Anolis sagrei: one gene and its partner. Each later gene encodes a partner of the first gene's protein in a complex. Links are inferred from orthologs where the notes say so. Each region holds a gene or a part of one and is shown on either strand. Other genes may lie near its edges.

The links. The genes of interacting proteins can lie anywhere in the genome.
Region 2: EPC1 (region 1) and VPS72 share a complex: the UniProt entries of both Homo sapiens proteins name them as parts of the nuA4-related complex. The link is inferred for Anolis sagrei from reciprocal best matches to the Homo sapiens genes EPC1 and VPS72.

Annotation. Positions count from the first base shown.
Region 1 is NC_090026.1:112,421,940-112,425,693, forward strand, and holds the start of EPC1 (enhancer of polycomb homolog 1), read right to left. Parts: upstream 2,231-3,754; 5' UTR 1,915-2,230; coding exon 1,762-1,914; intron 1-1,761. UniProt on the Homo sapiens protein: Component of the NuA4 histone acetyltransferase (HAT) complex, a multiprotein complex involved in transcriptional activation of select genes principally by acetylation of nucleosomal histones H4 and H2A.
Region 2 is NC_090032.1:6,555,607-6,559,360, reverse strand, and holds the start of VPS72 (vacuolar protein sorting-associated protein 72 homolog), read right to left. Parts: upstream 2,880-3,754; 5' UTR 2,834-2,879; coding exon 2,690-2,833; intron 759-2,689; coding exon 606-758; intron 130-605; coding exon 21-129; intron 1-20. UniProt on the Homo sapiens protein: Deposition-and-exchange histone chaperone specific for H2AZ1, specifically chaperones H2AZ1 and deposits it into nucleosomes.

The DNA.
Region 1 (3,754 bases):
CCTGCGGGAGATGGTAGCGGGGTATAAGAACAATAAATAATAATAATAAGTAGGTATGTTTTATGTCATAAACTTCGGCCCTCCAGATAGTTTGGACTTCAACTCTCACAATTCCAAAGAGCCAGGAACTGTGAGAGTTGACGTCCAAAACACCTGGAGGGTGTTTTAGTGTTTTGCTGCATTTGTTCATTTGAATTGTTTAGTGTTTATATATTAATTAGTATATACTATACAACAGGGTTTCTCAACCTTCCTAATGCCACGACCCCTTAATGGAGTTCCTCATGTTGTGGTGACCCCAAACCATAATTTTTTTTACTACTTCCTAACTGTAATTTTGCTACTGTTATTAATCGTCATGTAAATATCTGATTTGCAGGACATATTTTAATTCAATGGACCAAATTTGGCACAAATACTCAATGTGCCCAAATGTGAACACTGGTGGAGTTTGGGGTAAAAAGACCCTGACATTTGGGAGTTGTCGTTGCTGGGATTTATAGTTCACCTACAATCAAAGAGCATTCTAACCTCCATCAATGATCTAATCAAACCAAACTTGGCACACAGAACTCCCATGACCAACAGAAAATATTGGAAGCTTTTGGTGGGCATTGACCTTGAGTTTTGGAGTTGTAGTTCATCTACATCCAGAGAGAACTGTAGACTCAAACAATTAAGGCTCTGAACCAAACTTGGCACAAATACTCAATATGCCCAAATGTGAACACTGGTGGAGTTTGGAGGAACCAGACCCTGATATTTGGGAGTTGTTGTTGCTGGGATTTATAGTTCACCTACAATCAAAGAGCATTCTGAACCCTACCAACAATAGAATTGGGGCAAACTTCCCATAAAGAACCCTTATGACCAACAGAAAATACTGTGTTTTCTGATGGCCTTTGGTGACCCCTCTGACACCCCCTCACGACCCCTCCAGGGGTCCCGACCCGCAGGTTGAGAAACCCTGCTATACAAGGTATGTTTTATGTCTACCTCATAAACTTTGGCCCTCCAGATGTTTTGGACTTCAACTCTCACAATTCCAAAGAGCCAGGAACAGTGAAAGTTGAAGTCCAAAACACCTGGAGAGTCTTTTAGTATCTTCATAGTGTTTTGCTGCATTTGTTTATTTGAATTGTTTAGTGTTTATATATTCATTAGTATATACTATGCAAAAATTAGTATATACTAATTTTTTGAAATGTGTTTGATACGAGTGAAATAAAAGCTGTTGAGGTGGCTGGGATTTCTGGGAGTTGGAAGTCCCAAACCACCTGGAGGCCCAAAAGTGAGGGGACCACTCCTGGAGTGCGAGCCTGGGAAGAGAGGAGAACACGCGGGGCGCGCGCAGCAGCAGCAGCAACACCACATGGCCAGCCTGGACTTCCTTTCTCCCCAGCTGGGAGCGCGAGGCGCAGGCGCCACCTAGCGTTGCCTGCCTTCCCTCTCCCAGGCCCAGCCCTTCCAACGAGCGCCTCCACAAAATGGCGGCCGCCCGCCCGTCGCGTCACGTGACGCCCTTTGTGCCTTTCGGGGGGCCGAGAGCGAGCGAGGCCGGGAGGGCGACCCCGAGGGCGCGCGGAGGGGCCCGGCTGGCTCGCTGTCTCCCCGCTCCCTTCCTCCTCCTCCTCCTCAAGGCAGAGGGAGAGGGCTCGAGAGGGCGAGGGCGGCGGGAGGGGGGGAATGGCGGCCATTTTGTGCCTGCGCAGAGGCGGCGATGGCGGCGGGAGGGGTTTTTTTCCTTTCTCTCTCACGTACCGACTCCTCTTCCTTCTCCATGCCCGTGGGCATCTGCGGCACGGCCCGGTTGATGGAGGCATACTCGGCCAGGTCGGGCAAGTCCTCGCAGCGGAAGACGGGCAGCGGCTTAGACGCGTCCAGCGCCCGGGCCCGGAACGACAGTTTGCTCATGCTAGTCGGCGGCAGGGATGATGATGATGGCGGCGGCGGAGGAGGAGGAGGAGGAGGAGGCGGGCGGGGGAGGGGGGCTGGAGGCGGCGCTGCTGCTCCGCGCGGAGAGCCCGGCCCGGGCGACGCCGAGTGCTCCTCTCCTCCGCCGCCTCCTCCTCCGCCGCCGCCGCCCTCCTCCGCCTCCTCGCCGCTCCGGCTCCGCTCAGCGCGCCGCGGCCAACATGGCGGACATTAAACCTCCTCGACTGGCCGCCTCTTCCAGCCAACCCCAGCGCCACAGCCATTCCCACACTGCATCGCGCAAAGGGGCGCGCGCACGGCGCCGACAGGAGGGGGCGCGCGCAACAGGAGACCGCGCGGGCACGAGCGGCAGGCTGGCGGGAGGGAGAGAGAGAGAGAGCTTGGAAAGAAACAGGCGCGATGCTTCGCACCGCCTCACAAACACACTTTGGAAGGGGTCCCCCCCCCCTCTTTTTTTGACCTCTCGCCCAGAAGATTTTTGAAAAACCCGACGGTTATTTCGTCCTCTGTGACATCAAGCCATTCTATAGAATTGACGGGGGAACCTTGTGTTTGGACACCAGGCCTGAGCCAACTTCGGCCCTCTTTCCAGATTCAGACCAGCTATATACTCAGGGTTAAGGCACTACAGCAGGCCTGGGCAAACTTGGGCCCTCCAGGTGTTTTGGACTCCAACTCCCACCATTCCTGACAACCTCAGGCCCCCCCCTTTCCCCCTCAGCCTCCTATTTTAGAACAGGCCTAGGTAAACTTGGGCCCTCCAGGTGTTTTGGACTCCAACTCCCACCATTCCTAACAGCCTCAGGCCCTTTCCTTTCCCCTCTCAGCCGCTTAAGCCTCTTATTTTAGAACAGGTCTAGGTAAAGCAGCTGAGGGGGGAAAGGAAAGGGCCTGAGGCTGTTAGGAATGGTGGGAGTTGGAGTCCAAAACACCTGGAGGGCTCAAGTTCGCCCATGCCTGCTATAGACCCTGTCAAATATTCTTCCAAAGCCGCTTAAGCCAACTTCCGCCCTCTTTCCAGATTCAGACCGGCTATACTCCTTCCTCCCCCCCCCCCGTCTCTTATTTTAGAACAGGCCTGGGTAAACTTGGGCCCTCCAAGTGTTTTGGACTCCAACTCCCACCATTTCTAACAGCCTCAGGCCCCTCCTTTGGGAAAAGGAAGGGGCCTGAGGCTGTTGGGAATGGTGGGTGTTGAAGTCCAAAGCTGTTAGGAATGGTGGGAATTGAAGTCCAAAAGAAGGGGCCTAAGGCTGTTAGGAATGGTGGGAGTTGAAGTCCAAAGCTGTTAGGAATGGTGGGAGTTGGAAGTCCAAAAGGAAGGGGCCTGAGGCTGTCAGGAATGGTGAGAATTGAAGTCCAAAGCTGTTAGGAATGGTTGGAGTTGAAGTCCAAAAGAATGGGGTTGAGGCTGTTAGGAATGGTGGAAGTTGAAGTCCAAAAGGAAGGGGCCTGAGGCTGATAGGAATGGTGGGAGTTGAAGTCCAAAGCTGTTAGGAATGGTGGGAGTTGAAGTCCAAAGCTGTTAGGAATGGTGGGAGTTGAAGTCCAAAGCTGTTAGGAATGGTGGGAGTTGAAGTCCAAAAGAAGGGGCCTAAGGCTGTTAGGAATGGTGGGAGTTGAAGTCCAAAGCTGTTAGGAATGGTGGGAGTTGGAAGTCCAAAAGGAAGGGGCCTGAGGCTGTCAGGAATGGTGAGAATTGAAGTCCAAAGCTGTTAGGAATGGTTGGAGTTGAAGTCCAAAAGAATGGGGTTGAGGCTGTTAGGAATGGTGGAAGTTGAAGTCCAAAAGGAAGGGGCCTGAGGCTGATAGGAATGGT
Region 2 (3,754 bases), on another chromosome or scaffold:
AAAATAGGAAAGCCACTTACTGTCGACGGCATCGTCTTGCTCCGCCGGAGTCGCTCTTTCCTCCCGGACTTTCTGGGAGCTGCTGGCAGGCACCTCCGGCTTCTTAGGCCTCAAGCTTTTGATGGGTTCCTAGCAAAGATTCAAAGATGGGAAACTAATAGGCATATTCCCTCAAGAGCAGGACGTGTGAAAAAGATCTTTGAGTCCACATGGATAGCAAGTTAAACCTGAGCCAACAATGTGATGCGGTGGCAAAAAAAGGCAACAAGATTTGGGCCTCTATAGTGTCTAGAATCCAGGGAAGTCATGCTCACCATGCTCTATTCTGCCTTGGTTAGACCACACCTGGAATATTGTGTCCCATTCTGGGCACCACAATTGAAGAATGATATTGACAAGATGGAATGTGTCCAGAGGAGGGCGACTCAAAGGATCATGGGTCTGGAGAACAAGCCCTATGAGGAGCAGCTCAAAGAGCTTGCCTAGGCTTTGAAATCTCCTCTGGAATACTTCCGTTGCTCCTACTCTACTGGAAAGCCAAGCAAATGACTGTAAAAACATGCAAGTTACCCATCCATATTTGGGTTGATCCACATCTGTCTCACCCTGTAGGCCTTGGTCACCACTCGGCGCTTCCTTTTGGGCTCGTCGTCGTCCTGGTCGCTGTTGGGCTCGTCCCCTTCGTCGATGTCGAAATCCGAATCCACTTCATCGTCACTGTCGGACTGATCACCCTTGTATTCGTCGTCACCGGATTCCTGCAGGGAACCCAAGAGTATGGCTAAGCAGGGATGGAGTTGGATTTATGTGAGGTTTCTGGGCAGCATTCTCTCCCGACGTTTCGCCCACACCTATGGCAGGCATCCTCAGAGGTTATGAGATCTGTTGGAAACTAGGCAGTGAGGGATGGAGTTCCTCTCAAACCTTGCTGATCCCCCATTAGATAATAATAATAATAATAATAATAATAATAATTTTACTTATTATCCGCCTATCCTCATGGCTCGAGGGGATTATGGCATAATTAAAACACATGAACTTCTAAAACTTCTATAATTTAATAATGTTGTAATATAATATATAATATTTTTATATATACTAAAACTTATGATATGGTACAATATAATATATAATATTAATAGTATAACATACTGGTATGTATTATATATATTGTGGTATCATCATATAGTACAATATATAAAATATATAAATAAAAATGTAATGTTCGTTTGTTCTATTCATTATTGTATACTTTAAGTTATGTTTTTGATTGTGAGATGCTTTAAGTCTCCGGGTGGAAGGATAAAGCAGGATATAAATAAATACATATATACACACATATATTAAAATGTATTTTTATTATATATATATATATATATATATAGTTGTAATGTTTTTGACTGTGAGCCGCTTTAAGTCTCCGTATGGAAAGATAAAGCGCGATATAAATATATATATATATATATATATTGTATATTTTAAGTTGTAATGTTTTTGACCGTGAGCTGCTTTAAGTCTCCGTATGGAAGGATAAAGTGCAATATAAATAAATAAATAAACACACACACACACATATCTATATATCTATATATAAATGTATTTCTATTTATTATTGTATACTTTAAGTTGTAATGTTTTTGATTGTGAGACGCTTTAAGTCTCCGTATGGAAGGATAAAGCGCGATATATATATATATATATATATATGTATTTCTATTAATTATTGTATATTTTAAGTTGTAATGTTTTTGATTGTGCGCCGCTTTAAGTCTCCATATGGAAGGATAAAGCGCAATATAAATAAATACATACATATATATATTAAAACGTATTTCTATTTATTATTGTATATTTTAAAGTTGTAATGTTTTTGACTGATAAAGCAGAATATAAATAAGATAAAGCGAGATATATATATATATATATATTATTGTATATTTTAAGTTGTAATGTTTTTGACTGTGAAACACTTTAAGTCTCCGTATGGAAGGATAAAGTGCGATATAAATAAATACATACATATATTAAAATGTATTTCTATTTATTATGGTATATTTTAAGTTGTAATATTTTTTTTATTGTGAGCCGCTTTAAGTCTTCGTATGGAAGAATAAAGCGCGATATAAATAAATAAATACATATACATATATATATATATTATTGTATATTTTGAGTTGTAATGTTTTTGACTGTGAGCTGCTTAAAGTCTCTGTATGGAAGGATAAAGCACGATATAAATAAATACATACATATATATTTAAATGTATTTCTATTTATTATTGTATATTTTAAGTTGTTTTATTTTTTTTAAATGCAAATTAAAATGTATTTCTACAAAATACATCTTAAAATAACACAGGACTGAGATTAAAATTCATGCTTCAAACTGGTTGGGTAGGCCAATTAAATAGATTTATTATTATTATTATTATTATAAGATGCACAATAGAAGCAAACAGGAGGATGAGATCAGCTGCAAGTTGCAGCCCCGCCCATTCTTTTCCTCTCAGCCAATCGCTGGGCTTGCTCAGAATAGAGCCCCGCCCACTTGGGTAAGCCACGCCCCCGAGGTTTAATCAGATCCAACTCGGTGGCCCCGCCCTTTCTTTTGAATTCTAACCAATCGCCGTGTCGCTAAGGCCTCATTTTGCATAGCCACGCCCCTTTGGCGATCTCCCTCAACTCTTACCTCAGTAAAGCCGCCATAAGTCGTCTGGTAAAACTCGTCCTCTTCTTCGGCTTCCAGCAGTCCCGAGAGCTTGTTGCCTGCCGTCCGCCGCGGCGCTCGGCCTCCCGCCAGCCCCGTCGGAGCGGAGGAGGAAGCCGACGCCATGTTGGCCGCCGCTGAGCAGCAAGCGAAGTTCGATGCGCTCGGAGCGCGGCTAGGCGCCCTGGGTCTAGGCTTGAGAAAGCGAGGGCAGGCCGGAGCAATCGATCGCCGAGTCCTAAAGGAAATCAAGAGCTGTGCTCTATGGATGGATGTAAACATATGTTTGCTGGTTGGTTTGTATTAGAAAGGCTCCTCCGTGGCTTGATGGATCTGGATAGAACTTGGCACACACATACTTCATAATAATAATAATAATAATAATAATAATAATTATTATTATTATTATTATTAATTATCCATCTTAAAATACTGGGCAATTAAATAATATATAGAAATAATAACATTGAAATGTTAATATTATATATATCTATATAAATACTCTTCAGTGTGCCCAAGAGGGAGTTTCTCATCCGGTCTCAGCCACTGACTGAGATGCTGGGTTTGAGCCTGCCACTTTTGGACTCTCGCTTGCTGAGGTGTGAGTATCTCTGTAGATCTTAGGAAGCTGTTTCTTGATTTAAGGCATTGGCATGCTGGCTGATATCCGAACACAGGATGGGCCACAGACGTCCATGACTTGGTCCTTTCATTGCTGGCTGCTACTTCCTATTTATTTATTTATGACATTTACTTACTTACTTACTTAGGCGATCCCTCGTTGGACGAGTAAGATGGTCCTCCATTATGGATTTCCTTGTGGGTCCGTATGTGGCTGTGGAGCCCTATTCTTGCTCTGCATCTTCTTCCGCAGTGAGGGCATTGGTTTCCAGGTGGAAGGCGGTCCCGGTCGGGGTTGGCTTGACGCGCCTTCCTCCTGGCACGTTTCTCTCTTTCACCCTCCACTCATGCCTCCTCAAATTCTGCAGCACTGCTGGTCACAGCTGACCTCCAGCTGGAGCGCTCAACGGCCAGGGCTTCCCAGTT